Linked DNA regions of Caenorhabditis elegans. The protein of the gene in region 1 binds, or shares a complex with, the protein of each later gene. Each region holds a gene or a part of one and is shown on either strand. Other genes may lie near its edges. The genes, in order: dis-3, exos-2 and crn-5.

Region 1 (4,839 bases):
GCAAGCGCGCTCTAATGAGAGATTACTGTAATAATCTAAATGAAAATCAGTTTCTAGGTCGCTCTGTTGTATAAAATATATTTCTTCTTTGAATTTGAATATAACTTTTTTTTTTGTAATATTTTTTAAATTTTAAACCTTTGGTGTTCTGGACTCCCAATCCATATCAAAGCGAACTTCACTCGATGCCAACGTCAATGCTCCATTTCCAGTTCTTCTCGCATTCAAAACTTTCGACAATTTCATCAATCCACGTAATCCCAATGCCACGTCATTCTGCTCTTTTGGATCGTCAATAATCTCTTGTGCCTTCTCATAAGTCAATGCAGCTTTTGATTTAATTAGAGATTTGTGATATTTAACTGATTGTATATCAGCACTAGAAGTCATTGTCCAAATACACGAAAATGCATAACGCTCTTCTTCTCCGCGAAGTGAGCACAAATTGGAACTGAGCAGACATGGAAGCATATCGATACGACGATCACAAAGGTATACTGTAGTTCCACGTAATGCTGCTTCATCGTCGATTGCGGTTCCTAAACGTAGGAAATTTTGGTTCTTTTTTTGAAAATAAATGAGGTTTTATTCGAACCTCAAAGGACAAACATTTTTTTTAGTAAAACTTGAATTTTTAAATAATTTCAGTATATTTACCTGGTCTAACAAAATGCGTGACATCTGCAATATGAACTCCAACTTCGAAAAGATCCTCTCCAATTTGTTTACAGTGTAATGCGTCGTCAATATCTGTACATCCAAGTGGATCAACTGAACAAATTGTTAAATCTCTCAAATCAACACGTGGTAGAGGGCCGCGGTTTTCAGTGAGATCTGGTTCCCATTCTTCACGTGGTAGACAATCAAGAACAGATTCTGAGAATGGAGCATGTGGAATATCATGTTCGAGAAGGAGAACCTCATTTTCAGTTTCACGGGATCCCATCTCTCCGATTGATCTGAAAACAACAGTCATTCCGTTAAAATATTTCAAGATTTTCTGAAATTTCACATACCTGACGTAATGTCCAAGTGGATACTTGGAATCTCTTGGCCAGTGATCAATAGCCACCACAATTCTCTGCTGTGATAAAGTTTCAGCCTGTTCCGTCTCGATTCGAATTCTTGGAATAAGTCGTTCAGCTGGACAGAACAAGTGTCTTCTGGCTCCTTTCACTGTACTTGGCAGCAACATTCCACAATATTCACGCCAATTTCTTTTGATAATTCCAACAACTTTTGCAGTTGAAACAGTCATTTTCTTCGACTTTTTAGCTTTTGGCTCATCGTTCTCGTCATCATTCTCCTCGTCTTCATTTCCCATGTCATCTGCAGTTTTAACATATTCTTCAACGTCACGGAGTCGAATTTTCTTCTCTGGAGCAGTCCATTGGTCTTCTGGCAAAAGTTGAACTGCGACGGTATCTCCATTGACGGCACGATTGCAATTATTTCCTAAAATTCGAAATAAAAATTTTATTATTCAGAGAATTGGAATTTTTGGAAAAATTTCACCTTTTTTAAAAATATAATTTCAGAGTTGTTTCGCTCAAAATGACCGAAAACCACCTAATTTCGTTATAAAAAAGTTTTTTTAAAATTCTCAGCAAAAAGTAATGACTTGTGTGAAAAATTTGGTTGGTTTTCGAAAATAAATATTTCAACTAAATTCAAGCACCTGTGATGAACCAAGATGTTAACTGATCATCAATAATAACAGTAGCTTCGCGATAATTTTCTCTTGAAACACTGAAATTTCCTCTTTTGATCGTTCCACTGGCAATTCCCTCCATAATTCTATCATGCGATAGATATTCATCGAAAATTTGTTTCTCATTTCCATTTCCAGAGCTTTCATACGCAGCCATTTGATCCAAAAGTGCTTGTTTTCCTGGATCCTCCAAATTTTGTATGTATTCCTGAAAATTTGGAGATTTTTTCTTTTTCTACGGGGTTACTGGATCATTTTTCAAACTTTATTGTACTTTATTATACAATTTTTGATTAAGGATCATGATTTTTAGTTGAATAAAAGTTTAGTTACGGCGAAAATATGTTAAAGAGGTGTATATTTTAGGGTTTTTGGCTGAAATAGTCTGAAACTAGCTCGGAACGACAGAATTTCATTATGAGTCTTAAGAAATCAAAAATTTTCTTTTAACAAAATTTGGCTCTTTTTCGAAATTTCGCCAGTTTCAGAAAAGATCCACAGAGTTTTGAACTTTTCGACTATTAACCTTTAAATACATCACGTGTTGGTAGTGATTTTCCATTCTTTTTTTCGAATCTTCATCAAAAACTAAGACAACAGGAGCCACGTTATGCTTCTGCCAATGAGTTTTCAAGTAAAGAGCTGTTGAAAGTAGAAGCTCTTCGCCACGACTCAAATCCTCAAATTTCGATGATTCGGAGAAGGTCTCGCAGTGAAATTCGTTCATGAACACGTGAAATCTGTCTTTCGCATCTTCATAACACAAAGAATTCATTTTCTTGTAGGCTGGTACAGCTTTTGCTTTGACTCCTTCCCATACAGTCTGGGTTACGATGAGATCTCTGAAAATTAAATATAATTTATTATTTTACAGAGTTTTTAATTGAAACTAGATGTTTGTTACAATCCCGACAACTTCTAAAAACTGAATTTGGAGCAACAAATTAAGAATTTAATAATTGGACAGTAGAACCATCTACATTTAAATGATTCCGCTGTAATTTTAATTCATTACCTCAATAAAGACGAATCAAACAAATCGTAGAATCTGATTAATGATGTGGAATCCACAATCAGCGCGTGCCTTCCAACTTTCGCATTTCTTACGGGATTTTCAATTTTTAACAGCGGATTTGTGCCGAAATCCTTGCAGGTTCCACATTGAGCAAGTCCACATGAAAGATCATTTCGTAGATATCTTTCTTCGGCTCTCTGCAAAATTTTAATTGGGTTAGGTGATTTCGGAGAGGTTTTCTCACTTTATAGACTTTCCCCGAGCGATTTTGGAAGTAAGTCGTGTGCAAAGCGACGGAATGAATTCCACTTTGTTTGACGTTCAAATCCATACCTTCAAATAATGAAAATACGTGTGAAAAACAAATAAAATCGCACGAATCAGGTGAAAAATGAAGGAAAAACTATTTTATTCGAAGAAAAACTCAGTGTACATTTACGGTGAACAACACGCGCGAGTGGAACATCGGAGTGTCGTAGGCACTACGAAAACGAACACTTCGAACAACACTGCCATCGCAGCTGCGAGGAAAAATGAAATGAAAAGGAAGAATATATCTAAATAGAGTATGGCTAAAATCATGAAAACGGAAGTTTAAACATCTAAAATAGATAATCGGGTAGGAAACATGATTATCTAGGGCCTCATAACCTTAAAAAATAATGCTCAAAACGTTTTTAGATTTTTGAAAATTTTTCAGTCATAGATTTGGTAAATTGCCAAACTTTTTTGTCTTACAAAATTTAATGCGGATGAAACTAAATAATCGCCACTTTTTGATTTTTTTTCATGTATGTAGACACAGCACTGTCCTCAAGGATGAAATCTGACCAGACTTTAAAATGTTAAATTTGTCAAGATGCAAAATATTTATTGTTTTAATGTTAATTTTTGGAAGCAATAAGAACAATAAAAACATTAAGCGAAATATAGAATCTCATTATTGAAAAAAAACGGGTAAGAACATGATAATGAAATACATATCTCGATGGACTTCCATAAGATGTTTAAGAATCGGTTACTGTAGAATTTGGAGTTGAAGAATTGGTTCTACCCAGATAAATTGAAATGTCTTCAGATCCATTAAACTTTGTATGTGATCTTGATCTTCTTCGTTCCCGTATTCTAAAATTAAAATACCTCCAATTTGGATATTTTTCTTCATTATATAATTTTTATCGAAAATTCGAAAATTTACTAAACCCAGCATAGAATTCAATACCAAGGCTTTCATCTAGAGAAAATTTGAATTCGGAATTTCAAATAGAAAAATACATAGCAGAGCTGAGACATTATATACCAGGGATCTTTCCTTTTTCGAAAATTCGAAAATTTACTCGAACCAATCAATAAAGTATTTTTCTCTCATATCAGCAAAAAAAGTTGTGATCGGTTCACTTGTTAATTTCTTTGATTTGTAAGAAAAATACACCCTCCTCGACCTTTACGGAGCAAAACAGCTTTCAGGTTTTGGAGAGATGGGCTGGGTTAGTAGTATGGTTGGGTAGTCTTCTGAACTGAATGACTACTGGAAGATTAAGGTAGGATTACTATAGTTCCAAACGATTTACAATAAATCCCGGATGCTTATGTTAAGGGCATCGATGGAACACAAAACTTGTTCGCTTGAGTATTAATATATATTCAATTTGCAGATTAAAACAGAAAAACAGAACATATACTTGAAAAAAGTTTATTGTTAAGAAACCCAGTTCACACATCCTATGGATTGTACTCGATTGGAAGGTTCTTGCGACGAACCATACCGTCTCCCTGGAACCATTCACGACGGAATTGCTTGGCAGCTCCATCCGGGGTGTTGGTCCACTCAACAGTGATACGGTCGTTGTTGGTATCCTCTTGTCCGAAGGCGAAAGCATCGCAGGAAACAGCAAGAAGCACAGCTTCCTTTGGATCGAGAACTCCACATGGTGGATCAACTCCAAGTCTCTTCATATTGGTGGTCTTGATACCATATCCAATACGACGAGCCGATGAGTTGATCACCTTGATGTGATAGGTGTGCTTGTCATCGTATGGAGCATTAAAGACGATCTTCGCGTTTGGTTGGGTTTGGATGTCTCCTGGTGGGACGGATTGGGCCATGGTCGTT
Region 2 (4,322 bases), 3.7 Mb from region 1:
CCATCGAGAATTAGAAGTTCGAATTAACTTCACATTGTTTTCTATGAAACGTTCATCCGATCCTCGTTTACCATTCGATCCTTTGTTATATTTTCCCATTTTTACTGTGCCCAACACCTCATATGCATCCTTTTAGGTTAGAAGTCTGCTAATTAGCAGCATAATTTTTGAGCTTTCACTGAATGTCTGTCCCATGCCTGCTCTCTCTTTTCCTTTTTGTTGTTTTCCTCTGGTCAATGTTTCAATTCTTCCTGGTTTTTTTTGAATCACAATAAACACTTTCCAGAAAATCGTCTCGATTCTCACTTGGTGGATTGAAAAGCGGATAGTGTGAATCGAAGTATATTCACTGAAATTGTTCGGTCATTAAGTTAGAATGTGGAGTTCAATTGAAACAATTCCTAGATCAAAAAAATTTCTGTGCGACCTTGGGTTTGCAAAGATTACGGGTCGATCGTTTAATTTCAGGGTATGGACCATTTCTTTCGAAACTTTCAGATTTTGTATCGCAGCTAATATCATCCGAAAAAGTAAAAAGTTTTATTTAATTGAAATGGTAAATAAGAAACTCAACAAGAAATAACAGCAACAAAAAAGGTAAATTTTAAATAGGGAGAGATCATTCAAAACAATTAGAATTACTTCTGCTGTTGAAGTTCCTGTAGAAGCCGTGCAGCAATCAGGTAGGCGAGTCGAGAAGACGTGTCTTGCTCGGCGAGCTCTTTGATCTGAAATTATTTTTCTAATTTTTTAAAACTGAAGAAACAATCGATACTTCATAAGGCTGACTCATTTCATAGCATGTTGTCAGTGAATTGAGGTAGATCGAGATGGAATAATCACGAAGAAGACGAACACAGGCAGCGATTCTGACCATAGTTACGCGTACGTCGGGAGGTACAATCTGAAATTTATTTTATTGCGAAAAAAGCCAAATTTTTTTGTTTTTCTTTTCGATTATGATGATCACGAGTATGATGAATAAATTATAAGGTCTCGTCAATCATTGGAATTATTATAATTTCTCGTTGTTGAGTCACCAAATATGTGCGCTAATTGTTATTTTCGATTCATTTTTCTCAAGAATCACTATCACACCTGAAACTCGTGAACATGTGATCCATCCTCTTCAAGTGTGGTCTCCGGCAACGACGGCGTGACCCACACACTTCCGTTGCAGCCAATAATCACAGCCATTCCGTAGGGTAACGTGTGAAAATGTTTCTTGGACTTTTTGATCAAATGTGGAGGAACCTGCAAAAAAAAGAAATTAATTCCGTGACTTCCCACTCATTTTGTGGATTTTTTTGTCGCTTTATTTATTTTGGCAGCATAAACAAAAAAGAAATATTGCTTTGAACGAGATGTCGCATAAGAATGAGAAAACTCAACACTTTGAAAAGGCGGAGGATATTCGTACAAAAGTGCTCGATTCAATGATCTACCGACTCGATGAACGTGCAAATATGGTTATCACGGAGGTTAGCTTTTCATTAATTTTTTTTGAAATAGAAAATTATTATTAAAGAGCCCAATTCCCGAATGGCGTGCTTATACACAATGGATTCTCATTGCTGCGTTGCTTGTAATTTTTTGTATTCTTCGTTATGGCGTCGAGACTGTTGAACTGCATCCAACTGCAAAGAAGGATCAAGATCCTGTGATTGAGTACAGAGATCGAGAATTGAATAAAACTTCTGAGGCTTTTAGAGCAAGACGCCGTACGTGAGCTAATTGGAATCAATTGGATGATGAATTTAAAGAAATATAACAACTTTCCGAACTATTATTTAAAAATTTATAATTGCGTTTTCTTAAGATTTTATAAAATATTACCTTAATCAATATTCCTTGTTGCAATTTTCCGTACTTATTATTTCTTGTGTGTAGCATAAGTGTTCCGTCGTGCTGGACTTGTTGGACTTCTGCACAGATCAGTTCTCCGTTTTTCAAGAATTCGCTCATTTTCTCCTCATCTTCTACATCTTTTCTGCGAAAGTCTCCTCCTGGCAGGAGAACTGAACCTAGTGGAAGATTTGCATGAAGACGAGATGCCACATCACACTGAAAAACAATTATCGTTATATTTTTCACTTAAAAATTTGAAACCTTCCACCGTTTTGCTTGAACCTCCACGACACGGGCAACTACAACATCTCCGACTTCACCAGCATATCGTTGTTTAATAGTTTTAACCATCAACAGTCGATTTAATTGTTGAACGACTCCAGAGAGAGAACTGACGATTTCTCCGTCGCGAACGTAAGTTCCATGTCCTCTGAAAATCTTAATTTTTTCATTTTTCAAAAAGATATAACAGTATTTTACAATATACATACCTCATAAACTGTTGCGGTGCATCACAAACTGAATGTCCTGGAATAACAATTTTTGTCTCATCAATATCATTTCTTGCTTCGGACATTGATAACATCATCCATGGTGATACGAGGGGTGGACCGGTGACTTCGAAACTCATTTTTTAAATTTTTTTTGTCTGCAAATAACCAAATTTAAATAAACTTAAATTAAACAAAGAAACTGAAAAAAGCTTTCATTCGAAATGAAAATAAAAATAATTATTTCCAACGACACTCCGAAATGACGGAAAGCGTGCTGTTTATCGTAAACCCACACGTCACTCAATTGGCGCCTATTCAAATGTTGATTTTCGACCATAAAAGTGCGAGCCAATTGAGCGTGCAAATTTAATTGTTTCTGCTAAACCAATGACGATGAAAACCCGAAATTGAAATAAAAATAAGGTTCGACACGAAGCCATTGTCTGACTTTTTATAAAGGTGTCATTGGAAGGAAGTGTGAGTTGAATGGGACACCTATAATTTCGACTTGCATGCGAACGGGAAAAATACAACAAAAGAGGATACGTAGAAATATATTGGAGAAAAACTGAGTATTTAAAACAGAAGTAAAAATCGTAAAGGAAAAATTTTCAAAACTTTGGTGGTTTATTGTGCGATTTTTAAATATTTCCTAGATTCCGATTTTGCGGGTTTATGTACTCTTTTTTATTTAGGTTGACTGTAAAAGTATTCTTCTCCATCTAAAAATTAAAAAAAAAACATTTTCAGACGGTAGACGGTCATGTGGAACTCTTAGAAAAAAGTTTTGAAATTTTGAAAAAATTGAAAAAAAATCAATGTTTCTGAAAAAACATTTATAAAGTTACCATTTTCTGATTAACAATGTTCGAATTTTCGAATTGGTATTTCTTATTTTGATTGAGAGTTTTATGAGAAGTATTGAAACATATTTTTGATATTATTCTTAAATTTCGTTAAAAGTTATTAAAAATGCATATGTACCCGGAATATTGTAATTGAGCCAGTATTTGAACAACTTCTCAAGAACTTCAACTAAACATTCGGTTAATTTCAGGAAAATCAATATTATTTCTTCTGTTCTATTCATATTTCAGATTGAAATCTTTCACAGAACAGTGCAAATTTCCTAAAAAGAATGTGTCGCAAAAGAAAGGTCCACATATTTTTCTAGCAGTTGTACACTTGCTCCATATTCGAAGCTCATTTTTTATTTTTTGTTTTATATCAAAAATTGTTAACTGACAACTAATTGACTATTTACTTTTCTAAAATTTCCCATAAAAATAGTAGTAGGAGTCTTACAAAAGCTCCCAGAAAAATTTGTAAAAAATCGAAAAAAAAAAACACTGTTTCTGATACACTATTTACAAAATTGTGGTTCATCGAAAACAATGTTTTCAAAATATTGTATCTAATACATCGAGGCATTGATTAATTTTAGAAGTTATAACTTGGTTGTCTTTAAATTTTTGAACAACTGTCAACTGGCAACTTATTGATTATTTAATTTTCTAAAATTTATCAATTTTACAGTTTGTAAACTGTTTTGAATGAATTGAGATATGAGCTGTTAAAGTATGATAGTCAGGTGCAAGTACTTATTTATTTTGTCATTTCATTTTTTCGTAGTTTTAAAATCGCTAACCAATGTCTAGAAAACTTTATACAAAATTATCCATAATTTGCATTATCAGAGCCCTTAATTTCCCACAAAAATTCGGCGAAAAATGTGGGTGGACGGACGGGTGTTTTTCGATGACAAATGGACAGATCAAAAGCTTTCATTAATTATTTGAATATACTTCTTTTCACTCATCTTCCGTCATTTTCACACGCCTACCGTACTCCTCCATTGACTTCGCAAATCGCGGCGAATTTGAAATTAATATTTTAAAGAAATTTCTTACAGAATCTTTTATATTTTTTTGCGTTGATTCCAAGATCCGGGGGAATTTTAAATTTTTATTCATCAATTCT
Region 3 (2,943 bases), on another chromosome or scaffold:
ATTTGGTTCACAATTGGATGCTCCATCGTCTTCGATATTTGCACAATTGCAGTACTTCTCAAGGAGTACGATATCTCAATAATGGCGATTCGAATGCTACCGTATGCAGCAATTGTAAGTTCGGGCATCGATGGGGCACACGTGAAACTACACGGAAATTTGAATTTCTAGGAATGTATTGGATCGATTCTTGCAATTATTTGCTATGTTATCTCCATGGCAATATCGATTAGTAGTGAAGAAGTGACTGATGATTTCGGATTTTTGGTGGTCGCAATTTTTTGTTTTATTATTGCACTCATCCACGTGTTCAATCTGGTTGTAAATGTTCGAAGATGGAATAATGGATCACATCATTTGAGTGAGATTTTTTTTCTTATTTTGAAAATTCACCATTTTTATTTCAGATCCGGCTGGAGTCTACGAATATTCAAATTATGGATCTGAAGCTTAACCTATTCTTAAATACCTAAATACCTTCTCTTGTCACATTTCTACAAAAACTTCGACTTTGAAATTTAAGATTTTAATATCTCACAAAACAATGGATTCAAAATTAAATAAAAAATTAAAATCAACAACGACAACAACAAAACATTGATAATCTATTGCTCATCAACCGAAAGCTTCCTCTTCATCACAGTTTTGTAGAAATCAAAAATAGCACTGGCAGATGGTTGTGCCAATGACCACGCGGCTTCCAGCTGAATAAAATCCCAATGTCCTATAGCGTCCATCGCACACACTTCTGGATGTCCATCGGATCCTTTGCACACTGAAAAGAGCACTCTTCCAGTCGATGCAGCTTCTTGTTTTGCTGTCGGATCAATAATCAGCTCATCTTTGACACGAACAATAAGGACACCACAGAAGACTGTTCTGAAAAATTATATTACAGTTTTAAAACAGTATCTAAAAAAACTTACTCGAATGGCATTCCATTGTCAAGTAGAGCAAAACAAGCTCCATTTATCGCTACAGCTCCCATACTTCCATCATCCTGAATTCCATGTACTGTGACAGAAATTGTTGTGTGGGGAAACAATTCGAGATTGATTGCATTGGATAGAGTAGAATGAATGATATTGTTCAGCTGAAAAAAGAATTATTCCAAAAGTAATTTCTACAAAAACCCCTACCACATTGAACTTGTTATCTCCACAATTTGCTCTATAACTAATATCCAGAGTCATAGCCTCATCACTTGCTTTCGAAGCGTGAACATCTCCAGGACCACTGCATGAAGCCCAAATACACGTGGCACCCTGGGAGAAGCATGCCGAGCCATCCGCGTTTTTGAGGAACGAGAGCTCACAACGCATTTCACGAAGTCTGCCGGCCATTTGGGGATATCTGAAATCAAAATTAATCACAAAAATGAATTTTGTAGAAAATATAACTGAAATTGGTGGAAAACCAAATTGAATTAAAAATAAATAAATAAAAAGATTTCAAAAACAGTTTTCTTTAATTTCAAAGCAAAAGAAAAAGCACAACAACAAAAAGTAAAATAACAATGGTAATGGGATGGGATGTAACAATTTAATCATTTTTTGTAGTTGATGGTTCCTTGTCGATTCGATGATTTTTTCATAGCCATATTCTTCTTTGTCTTGTTCTTCAATCGATATTTTTGATGGAATGGATCGAAATCGGCGTTGTTGTCTCGAACAGGTTTTTCTGGAAATAATTTATTAGGAATTTGATTTCGAGACTTTTTTGAGAGCTATATAATTGGGTACGGTATTATCCAAATTTTGAGCCAGAAAACGTTTTTTTTTTGCAAATTTGCGGTTCTTTTTGGAATTTAACGAAAAATTGATTTTTTGGTGTTTTTTTTTGGTATTTTGAATTTTTTTTTTTGGGTTTTTTAATAGCTTTTATTGGCACTTCGACGAATAACATTGATTTTTTTTTGGGTTTTTTTGTTGGAATTCAACAAAAATTGAAATATTTCTTGTATTTTGACGAAAAATTGATTTTTTTGTTTTTTTTTTCAGACCAACAAAAATATTTTTTGAAAAACCAATACATTTTCACATATTCACGATTTTTTTGAAAAATAAATTCAAGCATCAACTTTTTTTGGTTTTTGTTCGTTTTTCGCAAATTCGTAAATTTCAATTTTGGTTTTTTGTTCAAAAATATTTTTTGTCCCAGCCCTGGTGTGCTCCTTTAAAGAGTACTGTAATTTCAAACTTTTGTTGCTGCGGAATTTTTTTTAGTTTTAAATTTATTTATTAAAAAACTAAAATAAAACCGAAGAAAATTTCCCAGTAACGAAAATTTGAAACTACAGTACTCTTCAAAGGCGCACACCATTTTGCAAGTTGTCGCGACCTGGTACCGTATTTTTAGCCTTAAATCTCGCGTCTGGATAATTCAAAGGAATATAACTTACCAAATGCACTACTATCAGCTTTTTCATAATCAAAATCTTCAACGGGAGCATCATCATCAGATTTTTTCTTTTTTGGATCTGAACTACTCGACGACTCGCCGAGCACAACAGAAACATCTATATTTCGTCGAGCAGCATCTCTCTTTCTTTTCATTGCCTTCTTTGACAGTAGCTGGTCGTCGGTAAAACGAGATGGATCGAAGATTTGAGGTTCCGATGAAGATTCTTCCATTGGTGAAGGTTCTGGATCTTTCGGCTTGTTCGGATCATCTGGGACCAGCTTCAGTGTATCAACGTTTAGAAGCTGAAAATTATCTTATTAAAACCAAGGATGTCATCGGAATTTTTAAATATATTTTTTTTCATTTATTTTTTTTTTGAGAAAATCGAAAAAAAAGAAGTTTTATTTTCTGATTTTTTCAGAGAAAATCGAAAAAAAATTCATTTTTATTTATTTTTTCAGAGAAAATTAAAAAAAGATTTTAGTGATTTTTTCAGATAATTTTTTTTTAAAGTTTTTTTACTAAATTTTTTTCAGAGAA

The links.
Region 2: dis-3 (region 1) and exos-2 share a complex: the UniProt entries of both Caenorhabditis elegans proteins name them as parts of the RNA exosome complex.
Region 3: dis-3 (region 1) and crn-5 share a complex: the UniProt entries of both Caenorhabditis elegans proteins name them as parts of the RNA exosome complex.

Annotation. Positions count from the first base shown.
Region 1 is NC_003282.8:10,095,426-10,100,264, reverse strand, and holds the start of dis-3 (putative exosome complex exonuclease RRP44), read right to left. Parts: upstream 3,064-4,839; 5' UTR 3,058-3,063; coding exon 2,971-3,057; intron 2,924-2,970; coding exon 2,727-2,923; intron 2,554-2,726; coding exon 2,238-2,553; intron 1,920-2,237; coding exon 1,679-1,919; intron 1,456-1,678; coding exon 1,017-1,455; intron 960-1,016; coding exon 658-959; intron 540-657; coding exon 139-539; intron 1-138. Other genes in the region: msp-36 (Major sperm protein 10/36/56/76), read right to left, coding at 4,449-4,832. UniProt on the Caenorhabditis elegans protein: Putative catalytic component of the RNA exosome complex which has 3'->5' exoribonuclease activity and participates in a multitude of cellular RNA processing and degradation events. Has both 3'-5' exonuclease and endonuclease activities.
Region 2 is NC_003282.8:6,413,660-6,417,981, reverse strand, and holds exos-2 (Exosome complex component RRP4 homolog), read right to left. Parts: upstream 2,505-4,322; 5' UTR 2,480-2,504; coding exon 2,340-2,479; intron 2,279-2,339; coding exon 2,110-2,278; intron 2,065-2,109; coding exon 1,837-2,064; exon of another isoform or gene 1,730-1,836; coding exon of another isoform or gene 1,529-1,729; intron 1,482-1,528; coding exon of another isoform or gene 1,365-1,481; exon of another isoform or gene 1,329-1,364; intron 1,255-1,328; coding exon 1,099-1,254; intron 905-1,098; coding exon 776-904; intron 729-775; coding exon 639-728; 3' UTR 522-638; downstream 1-521. Other genes in the region: Y73B6BL.22 (Nitrogen regulatory IIA protein), read left to right, coding at 1,365-1,481, 1,529-1,729. UniProt on the Caenorhabditis elegans protein: Non-catalytic component of the RNA exosome complex which has 3'->5' exoribonuclease activity and participates in a multitude of cellular RNA processing and degradation events. Involved in regulation of antisense ribosomal siRNA production.
Region 3 is NC_003280.10:10,591,162-10,594,104, reverse strand, and holds crn-5 (Exosome complex component RRP46 homolog), read right to left. Parts: upstream 1,354-2,943; 5' UTR 1,344-1,353; coding exon 1,140-1,343; intron 1,094-1,139; coding exon 927-1,093; intron 880-926; coding exon 606-879; 3' UTR 514-605; downstream 1-513. Other genes in the region: C14A4.6 (MARVEL domain-containing protein), read left to right, coding at 1-114, 172-361, 408-454; crn-3 (Exosome complex component 10 homolog), read right to left, coding at 1,547-1,680, 2,402-2,705. UniProt on the Caenorhabditis elegans protein: Non-catalytic component of the RNA exosome complex which has 3'->5' exoribonuclease activity and participates in a multitude of cellular RNA processing and degradation events. Involved in apoptotic DNA degradation.